2 linked regions of the Xenopus tropicalis genome follow. The protein of the gene in region 2 interacts with the protein of the main gene of each other region in a biochemical or structural test. Links are inferred from orthologs where the notes say so. Each region holds a gene or a part of one and is shown on either strand. Other genes may lie near its edges.

Region 1 (4,413 bases), on a different chromosome or scaffold from region 2:
TGAACATATCTCTGCACGTCACAATCCTGACAGTGTCTTGAACTCTTTGTAGCTTTAAGGAAACATATCTGCAAATAGCTGTTTGTAAGGAGGCCTGTGACAACAACAACAATGCAATGAACCATTTACCTTTTAATATGCCGAAATAACAGCTGCTAAATAACCCTTTGTACTAAAGATAATTGTTACAGCACTTCCTTACAGGCCCTATCTATATAGAATATTAATACGAGAGAAAACCATACTTAAGACGGACATCACCCACCCCTTGGCAACTATGTTGGGGCACACATGTGCATAAAGAGCAACTGCCCCTGCTTGTTCGTTATACATATATGTATGACGAAGGATCAATTACACAATGAGTAAGTTAGGGCACATGCATTATATGCACAGTGCAGGGGGGGCAGAGCATCTACAATACAGTTTTCTGACAAATAATAGTATTGTTTACCCCTTCCGGAGTAAAGGCTCTGGTAGCCACACCACACACAGTGGTTCAGCTGAACTTCTTCAGGCATAAACTGAACCTTACTGAGGTGTGCGAGTAAGATCCAGTTAAAGCAATTCAGACAGGTGCTCCTTTTGTTAGTTAAATGACTAAATGTGAATTGTTATAAAACCACTGGGGTAAAGATATAAAAGGCATTGTAGGCAGCTAAGGGATGGTGTTGCAGCCCTCTTCTCTCTTTAGGGATAGTTGTTCCAGCTTGATATAAAAGGCCTACTAAACACTGGGGGCCATGTTTAAATCACTTTGCAACTTGCGATGCCACGCATTTCCAAAATGGAACATACAGACCTGCGTGTGCCCCAAGAATACCCTGCTGCCTATGTTCAACAGCAGGGGGTGAGAGGAGGGTGTATTGGTGTTCTCTGCCACCCCTACTCATTCTCTAATTTGTATGCCATTGAATGCTGAGAATGATGGCAGCAGAATGGAGCACTGTACAGCAGATGGTAAGGGCAGGGTTTGTGCCCAACAGCACCTCGCTTGCACCTAGTAGCAAATTTCCAATCTGCCACTAGGTACAGATGGCAGCCAGTTCTAAAACAAAATCTCTATGGTGCAACTGATTTACAACATACTGAATAATAACAAACGCCTACAGGCAGTAGCATGCTGTGTGCTTTGTGATGGCATTTCCTCCATAAGCACTGACTCAGATTTACATGCAAACATCACAGTGACATAATTCATGGCACAGGATGTATTTGGTCAGATAAAAATCACATATAGACTGCCAATGTTTACTCAAACAGTGCATATTGAGCATTATGTGCCTGCTACACTGTTTCCCCTGCCTGCCAAGGCTAGAGTTTCAAATCATATAAACCTTTAGTAGAGAAATATTCATATTTAGTCTAGAGCAGTGATCCCCAACCAGTGGCTCGTGAACAACATGTTGCTTGTCACCCCCTTTAATGTTGCTCCCAGTGGCAGAAAAGTAGGTGCCCATTTTAACATTTCTGGCTTGGAGGCAAGTTTTGGAAGCATAGAAACTTTTTTTATAGAGCTTTAGGCTGATGCCACACATGGCGTAGGGCTGATTTTTTCGGCAAGCGGTAAAACGCTTGCCGAAAATTCAGCCCTACGCCTGCTACTTGTGCCTGCACTCGAATGAATGGAATACGCTCGGGTGCAGGCACATGTAGCCGATATACGCATGAAAACGCGCGAGAATGCAAAGTCTCACGTTTTCATGCGTATATCGGCTACATGTGCCTGCACCCGAGCGTATTCCATTCATTCGGGTGCAGGCACAAGTAGAAGGCGCAGGGCTGATTTTCGGCAAGCGTTTTTCCGTTTGCAGAAAAAATCAGCCCTACGCCAAGTGTGGCATCAGCCTTACTCAAAACAGGCCAGCAGTGCACATAGGGGCTACCAAATAGCCAATCACAGGTCTTATTTGGAATCCCCAAAGAACTAATTTGTGTGGCTCCCCAACTCTGAGTGTGGCCCAACGAGTAAAAGAGTTTGGGGATCCCTGGTCTTGAGACTTTAAATGTTAGTTTGACAAACTACAGGTACATTCATTAAAACAGTGTCACTTACACTACCATTGCAGGTATAGTACCTATTATTCAGAATGCTTGAGACCTGGGCTTTCCCAAATTTGAAGCTTCATTCCTAAAGGTGACTAAATGCTTACAAACAAATCAATAATAAAGGCTGGCTGCACCAATATGGATTCATGCAGCTTAGTTACCATCGAGTACAAGGTTCTGTGTTATTACAGAGCACAAAATTAATCAGAAAATAATGGAAACTGACATTTCTGTATTTCTGAGCATTTTGGAAAAGAGGTCCCATACCTGCACAAGTGTGTGTACGTGACAAGAAATGACCAATAATTGATAAGGTTTAGCAGCGAGGCTATCAATCCCCATTTATGCCTCTAGGTGGCACCTAATCACTGGCTAAACTGCAGGTCGACTGGAAAAACATTTTTACATTAGTACAAGATAAAAGTGCAAAACAATTCCGATAGCTGCTTCTCCTGTAAGGCTATGCCCTCCATAACTGCATTTATGTGCAAGCCCCACATCTCTGCACGACAAAATTACTCAAATGCATTAGTATCTCCATCTAAAAAGTGCTTTTTCTTTCACTATGCAAATAGTTCGAGGGTGTAGTTGTCCTTTAACAGCTGGGAAGTAAAAAAGGACTCAGACAGAACTACAGAACCAACAGCCCTTTCATAAGTCAAAGTATATGTCGTTATTGTGTAAGGCAAGGCAATAAATAAAGTAAAATACGCTATTGCAGCCATATAGATGCACCAGGTAATCCCGGCTCAGCTATGTGACAACAACTAATGACCCCTCACTAACTGCCCGAGCGCAAAGCCACTTGTGTTATTTTACCTTAGTGAAGCAACTCCGCTCCAAGCTCTCTACCAGTCATAAGGCTCTAGTCCTGTCCCTACATACTAAGCTAGCCCCGCCCACCACTGACGTTTCAATGAAAAACCAATCACAGTGTCCCAGGGAATGTCCGTGGAAGCTATGATACACACTGCACACCGAGAGAGGTCTGTGTGTGATACCAAGCAGCCCGCCTTTTCCTAGAAGTCATGTGACACCAGGGACGGTCCCAGGGCGATTGGATCCAATTGGGCCATGTGCCAGTGGGGACCCCCCACCATTGAAGAACTGAGGAACATTTACCCCCCGTCACCCACAGACATGGGAACTGAGAGGGGAGGGGGCGGGGCCGTTTCCCACAGAGCAGCTAACTAATTCTAGTAGATTAATTAAGCTAAGCTTAACACAGTTAAAATTTAAATAGCATTCTGTGCACAGCTTTTTTTTTTCCTTGAATGTTAAGAAGAATACTGCAAGGGGAGAAAGAGAAATGTAGAGGGGGAAGGAGAGCAGGAAAACAACTTCTGAGAGGAAAAGAAGAAAAGCACAGAATGCAGAAAAAAGAGAGAACAGAAAACTAGTAGAGAAGAAATCAAAATGGGGAGGAAACAGATAATGTGAGTTAAGGTGGCCACACGTGGCGATTTTAGATCTTTCGTGCGACCATCAGTCGCATGAAAGATCGTACAACCTGCCACTAACCGTTCAGGACTGAAATGGCAGATAAGGAGGTAGAAACAATAGGATTTCTACCTCCTTCTGCCGATTCAGCCCCAAAGACTGATTTTGCTCAGGCGCATTCTATGGCGTCCGATCAAAATCTTTAAACCGGCCCGATCGGCGAGTCGACCGATATCAGCAGCCTCCTGCAATATCGGTCAACTCACCGACTTGCCATACACGCACCGAATATCGTACGAAACGGGGTTTCGTACGATATTATCGGTGCGTGTATGGCCAGCTTTAGAAACTACAGCAGAATAAACACAACAGTGCAAAGGAGAAGGGAAGAGTATTGATAAACAAGAAAATTTGTAGAATATGTACATGTAATATGTAGAAAGGGACAGGAGCAATTTAGCACCTCATTAATAAAGGGTCCCTGTGGATTAGTGAAAGAAAAAGATGAGCATGAAACTACAAAAGAAAACATGTGTAATCAGTAGGGATCCTCAACCTTTTTTACTCATGAGCCAAACTCAGATATAAAAAATGTTGGGGAGCTACACAATCATGAAAAGGTTTTATTGGGGATGCCAAATATGGACTGTCATGGGCTATTGGGTAGCCCCATGTGGACTGCATGCCTGCGGGAGGCTCTGATTTGAGTAAAACTGTCTCTGTGCTTCCAAACTTGCCTCCAAGCCAGAAATGTAAAAATGGCACCTACTTTGAGGTCACTGGGAGCAACTTGTTGCCCCTGAGCCACTAATTGGGGATCACTGGTATAATCTCACAAAGCTCTGCTGACTATCCAGCAGGAGGGAAAGGGGAGCAATGACATAAGTTTAAATGTTCTACCTTGTGCAGTACTTCCCCTTGCCA
Region 2 (3,650 bases):
CTGAGCAGAGCAACATCAGAACACTTCTCTGTTTTCCTTCTGAAAGATATCTGACGGTACAGTTACAGGAAGTGGCCAGCAGGTGGCGGATAAAATTTTTTAAAAATAGCTGTGAAACTGAATAAAATAATGAATGTAAATCACAGAAGTGCTTAGAAAAGAACCTTGAGCGATTTTACATTTACTTTTTTTTAAAGTTTACTTATTCTTTAAAGCTGGGAGTCACTAGGGGACATTTAAAATGCAGAATGCAGAAGTGCAAAAAAAAAAAAAAAAATGGGCCATTTTTCTGCACTATTCCCTCTGCTTTCTGCCTTACTTGTACTGCCACAGGTCCCTGCAGTATTTAAAGCACAGAGATCTGCCACCTTCCCCTAGGATTCAGAGCAGACTGCATTGGTCAGTGCTGTATGGGGAAGGGGGGAAGCATATAGATGTCCCTACTCCTGCACTCTACTTGTTCCCTAACTGTGTCATTTAAAAGTGCAGACGGAACAGGGCAGTTACAAAATGACATCTAATGAGTCACATGTGGCTACACATTTGACATGCAACGTAGGCACGGCCTGTTCACACTCCATGAACACCACTATTACAGCTAACCCTGACCTAAGCAATGTATACAAGCTTGCTATAAGCTGCTGTAGGAACCAATAATCAGCTCACAGCCATGAAAGTCCTGTACTTTCCCTGTGCCTCAAATAATATACAAACAGCCCAGCAGCAGGAAACCCCACATGCCCCAGTAATTGCTTACAGACTAAGTGGTTTGATGCTGAGGAATCTGCAATCTGATCTGAGGGGAAGCACACACTGGAATGTATAATGAAAATTAATTGAAAATTCCATAAAATTTTTTGATAAATATAGTTTTTTTTTTTTTAGCTTTTTCAATAGTGCAGAACTTTTAATGAATGTATGTTGGAAATTGGTTTGTTCTTTTATGGAGAACCTTGGACCAGGCTTCTAGTTTTTGACTTTACAACCCCTTTAAATAAGACACTGTACCTGCACAGAAGAATGGATTTGGCTGCCAGAGCAATCACTGCTGCCCCCTGTGCTGGCGCTGTGGGAAGAGCAGATAAATGCTTTTGGAGGGGGCCCGGGAAGAGGCAATTGCTGAGGTAGGTCTAGGGCAGCAAAGGAAAAATGAGTTAGTGCCGTAAAGTGTATGTTGTTGGATATAAAATGAAAGGACACAAAGAGAGCACACATCTCAGTTACTGACAAAGCCACAAAGTGTTAAGGTGGCCATACACGCACCGATATTATCGTACGAAACCTCGTTTCGTACGATAATCGGTGCGTGTATGGCATGTCAGCGAGCCGACCGATATCGCAGGAAGCTGCTGAAATCGGTCGGCTCGCCGATCGGCCAAGTTAGAAAATTTTGATCGGGCGCCATAGAAGGCGCCTGACCAAAATTCTCCCTTCAGAGCTGAATCGGCAGAAGGAGGTAGAAATCCTATTGTTTCTACCTCCTTACCTGCCGATTCAGCCCTGAATGGTGTGTGGCGGATCTGACGATGTTTCGTGCGACCGACGGTCGTACGAAACATCGTGAGATCGCCACGTGTATGGCCAGCTTTATACTGAGAAGATACCTGAGGGATTAGTAGCCTGTGTCTGTAGGCTGTCAGTTTTTGTCTGGGGCTTCTGGAAATAGGGTGCGCTTTCAGGGCCTGGATACGGATATGGAGGAGGCAAAGGGTTTGCCTGAGAGAAGTTCTGTGTACTCTCTGGCACGTATCTTGATCTCCCTAAAGCAAAGAACAAAAAAGTACATTAGATTACACAGTTGAAGTAACAAGCAGTATTTCTACAATTCTATAAAAAAACAAAATTGTTACTCCAAGTAGCTAGGGTCATATAAGGTTGGTAATATGAAGCCATGCAAATAATCCCTTGTCTCATGCAGCTATATAGGGATCAAGTGCTGTGCCCATTGACGCAGGGTACCTTAAATGAATGGGGGTTCTATGTCCAACTGGCTGTGGTGGTAAAATGTCCCCTTAGGGCTCTATCAGACTGTAATGTCATACCCCAAAATAAAAGACTGAGAGTTTATGTCATAATAAGTATGTTGTCCTGTAACTCAAAGTAGCAAAACAGCATTTGCCTTTTGTCTTGGGAAGTTACAAGAAAGCATCCGATTGCTACCAACAATGGATAACGGGTCTTGGGCAAACTCTGCTTCTAGCACTTCCTAAACCCTCATAGGAAACGGTGTGTGTTTTTTTTTTATAATCTATGGTCTGTGTCTATATGATTCTGTATTACTGATGGAATGGCTAAAGAGGTCACATTTATATAATGAATAATGAAGCACATGTTATAAAATTATAAATATTATAAGTCGCTGAGCTCTTCCATGACCATATAAAGGCACAAGGCCAAAGCCAGGTGCTTTTATACAGGGTATGGAACTCGAGGTGACTTCTGATATCTCATTGGGTATAATATTTATTCTAATACACAAGTTTCAGTAAGTCATGTGAGAGAAATGACATCAGTAAGCATAATTTGCAGGATATTCATGGCTTTTGTGCATTATAGAATGATTACTGATGTACAGTGCGGCGTACACAAGTAGTGCTATACGAATAAAATATACATACATACTAAATAAGGACTCACAGGATTCAAAGACATCAAGGGCCCGTAACAGGTTTAATGATCTGAGGATAGACAGCAGTTCCCCAACCACTGCATTTCTATTACTCCACGCCCACACGACTTCCTCGGTGCGAGAGCGAGATCCCTGCTGCTCCAGGAGCCGGAGTTCAGTCATGTCTGGAATGATCATGGAAGCTGGAGTGGAAAGGAAAAGGAGATAAAGAAGTGAAACAAAAGCCTAATAAATATATAAATCGCAGCCAGCACCAAGGGTCTTGTAGTTCAACAACTTTGTGTATTAAAATTGCATGTACAACAATTATTGTATACATGCAATAATAATACATGAAGTTGTTGAACTACACAATTCTTGGTGCTGGCTGTGATTTATTTTTATATGTATATTATATTTCCGCGCACGAGGGCAGCTACACTGTAGCGTGATTGAAGTGAGGTGCTGTTCTGAGGACTTACATATATATATACTGGAGGAAGAGTCAGCACTTGCAGGTCTTATACAAAAAGTCCTGTGAGTGCTGACCCTTCCTCCAGTATATTCAACACTTTTTGGACCTGCAACCAGGCACCAGCAATTTTGTCTCAGTGACTTTTTTTTGTGGCAAAATTTTGCCCCAGTTTCACAAAAAAAAATTGGTCAATGGCCAAATGCAGAATTTCCATGAGAATCTATGCCTGCTGAAAAAATGTGCTCATCACTACTGGCAATCTATAACCTCCTCACCCCCCACCCAGGGCAGTTGCAAGGGTGCTGAGACAGGAGGCAAGATAGCGGCACTTATAAGAACTGAACACAGGGCTAAATGCATTATTCAACAAAGGAGAGGCCAGCCTGAGGTTAGCGATTATAAACAATTGCCCCCACTTTTCCAAAGATTTACTCCCAACAGCATTGCCTCCACTTTCTGAGACTCTCATACTTTATACTTGTTTTAGCTAATAATTACATAAACGCTCTCATTTAATGTAACATAGTAAGTTAGGTCAAAAAAAAGACATACGTCCATCAAGTTCAA

Evidence for each region. The genes of interacting proteins can lie anywhere in the genome.
Region 1: the proteins of irak1 (region 2) and irf7 form a complex in vitro, tested with the Homo sapiens proteins (2 studies listed by BioGRID, with this or other methods). The link is inferred for Xenopus tropicalis from reciprocal best matches to the Homo sapiens genes IRAK1 and IRF7.

The regions. Positions count from the first base shown.
Region 1 is NC_030680.2:34,535,035-34,539,447, forward strand, and holds the start of irf7 (interferon regulatory factor 7), read right to left. Parts: upstream 2,939-4,413; 5' UTR 2,869-2,938; intron 1-2,868.
Region 2 is NC_030684.2:32,188,431-32,192,080, forward strand, and holds part of irak1 (interleukin-1 receptor-associated kinase 1), read right to left. Parts: intron 2,812-3,650; coding exon 2,638-2,811; intron 1,761-2,637; coding exon 1,605-1,760; intron 1,131-1,604; coding exon 1,009-1,130; intron 1-1,008.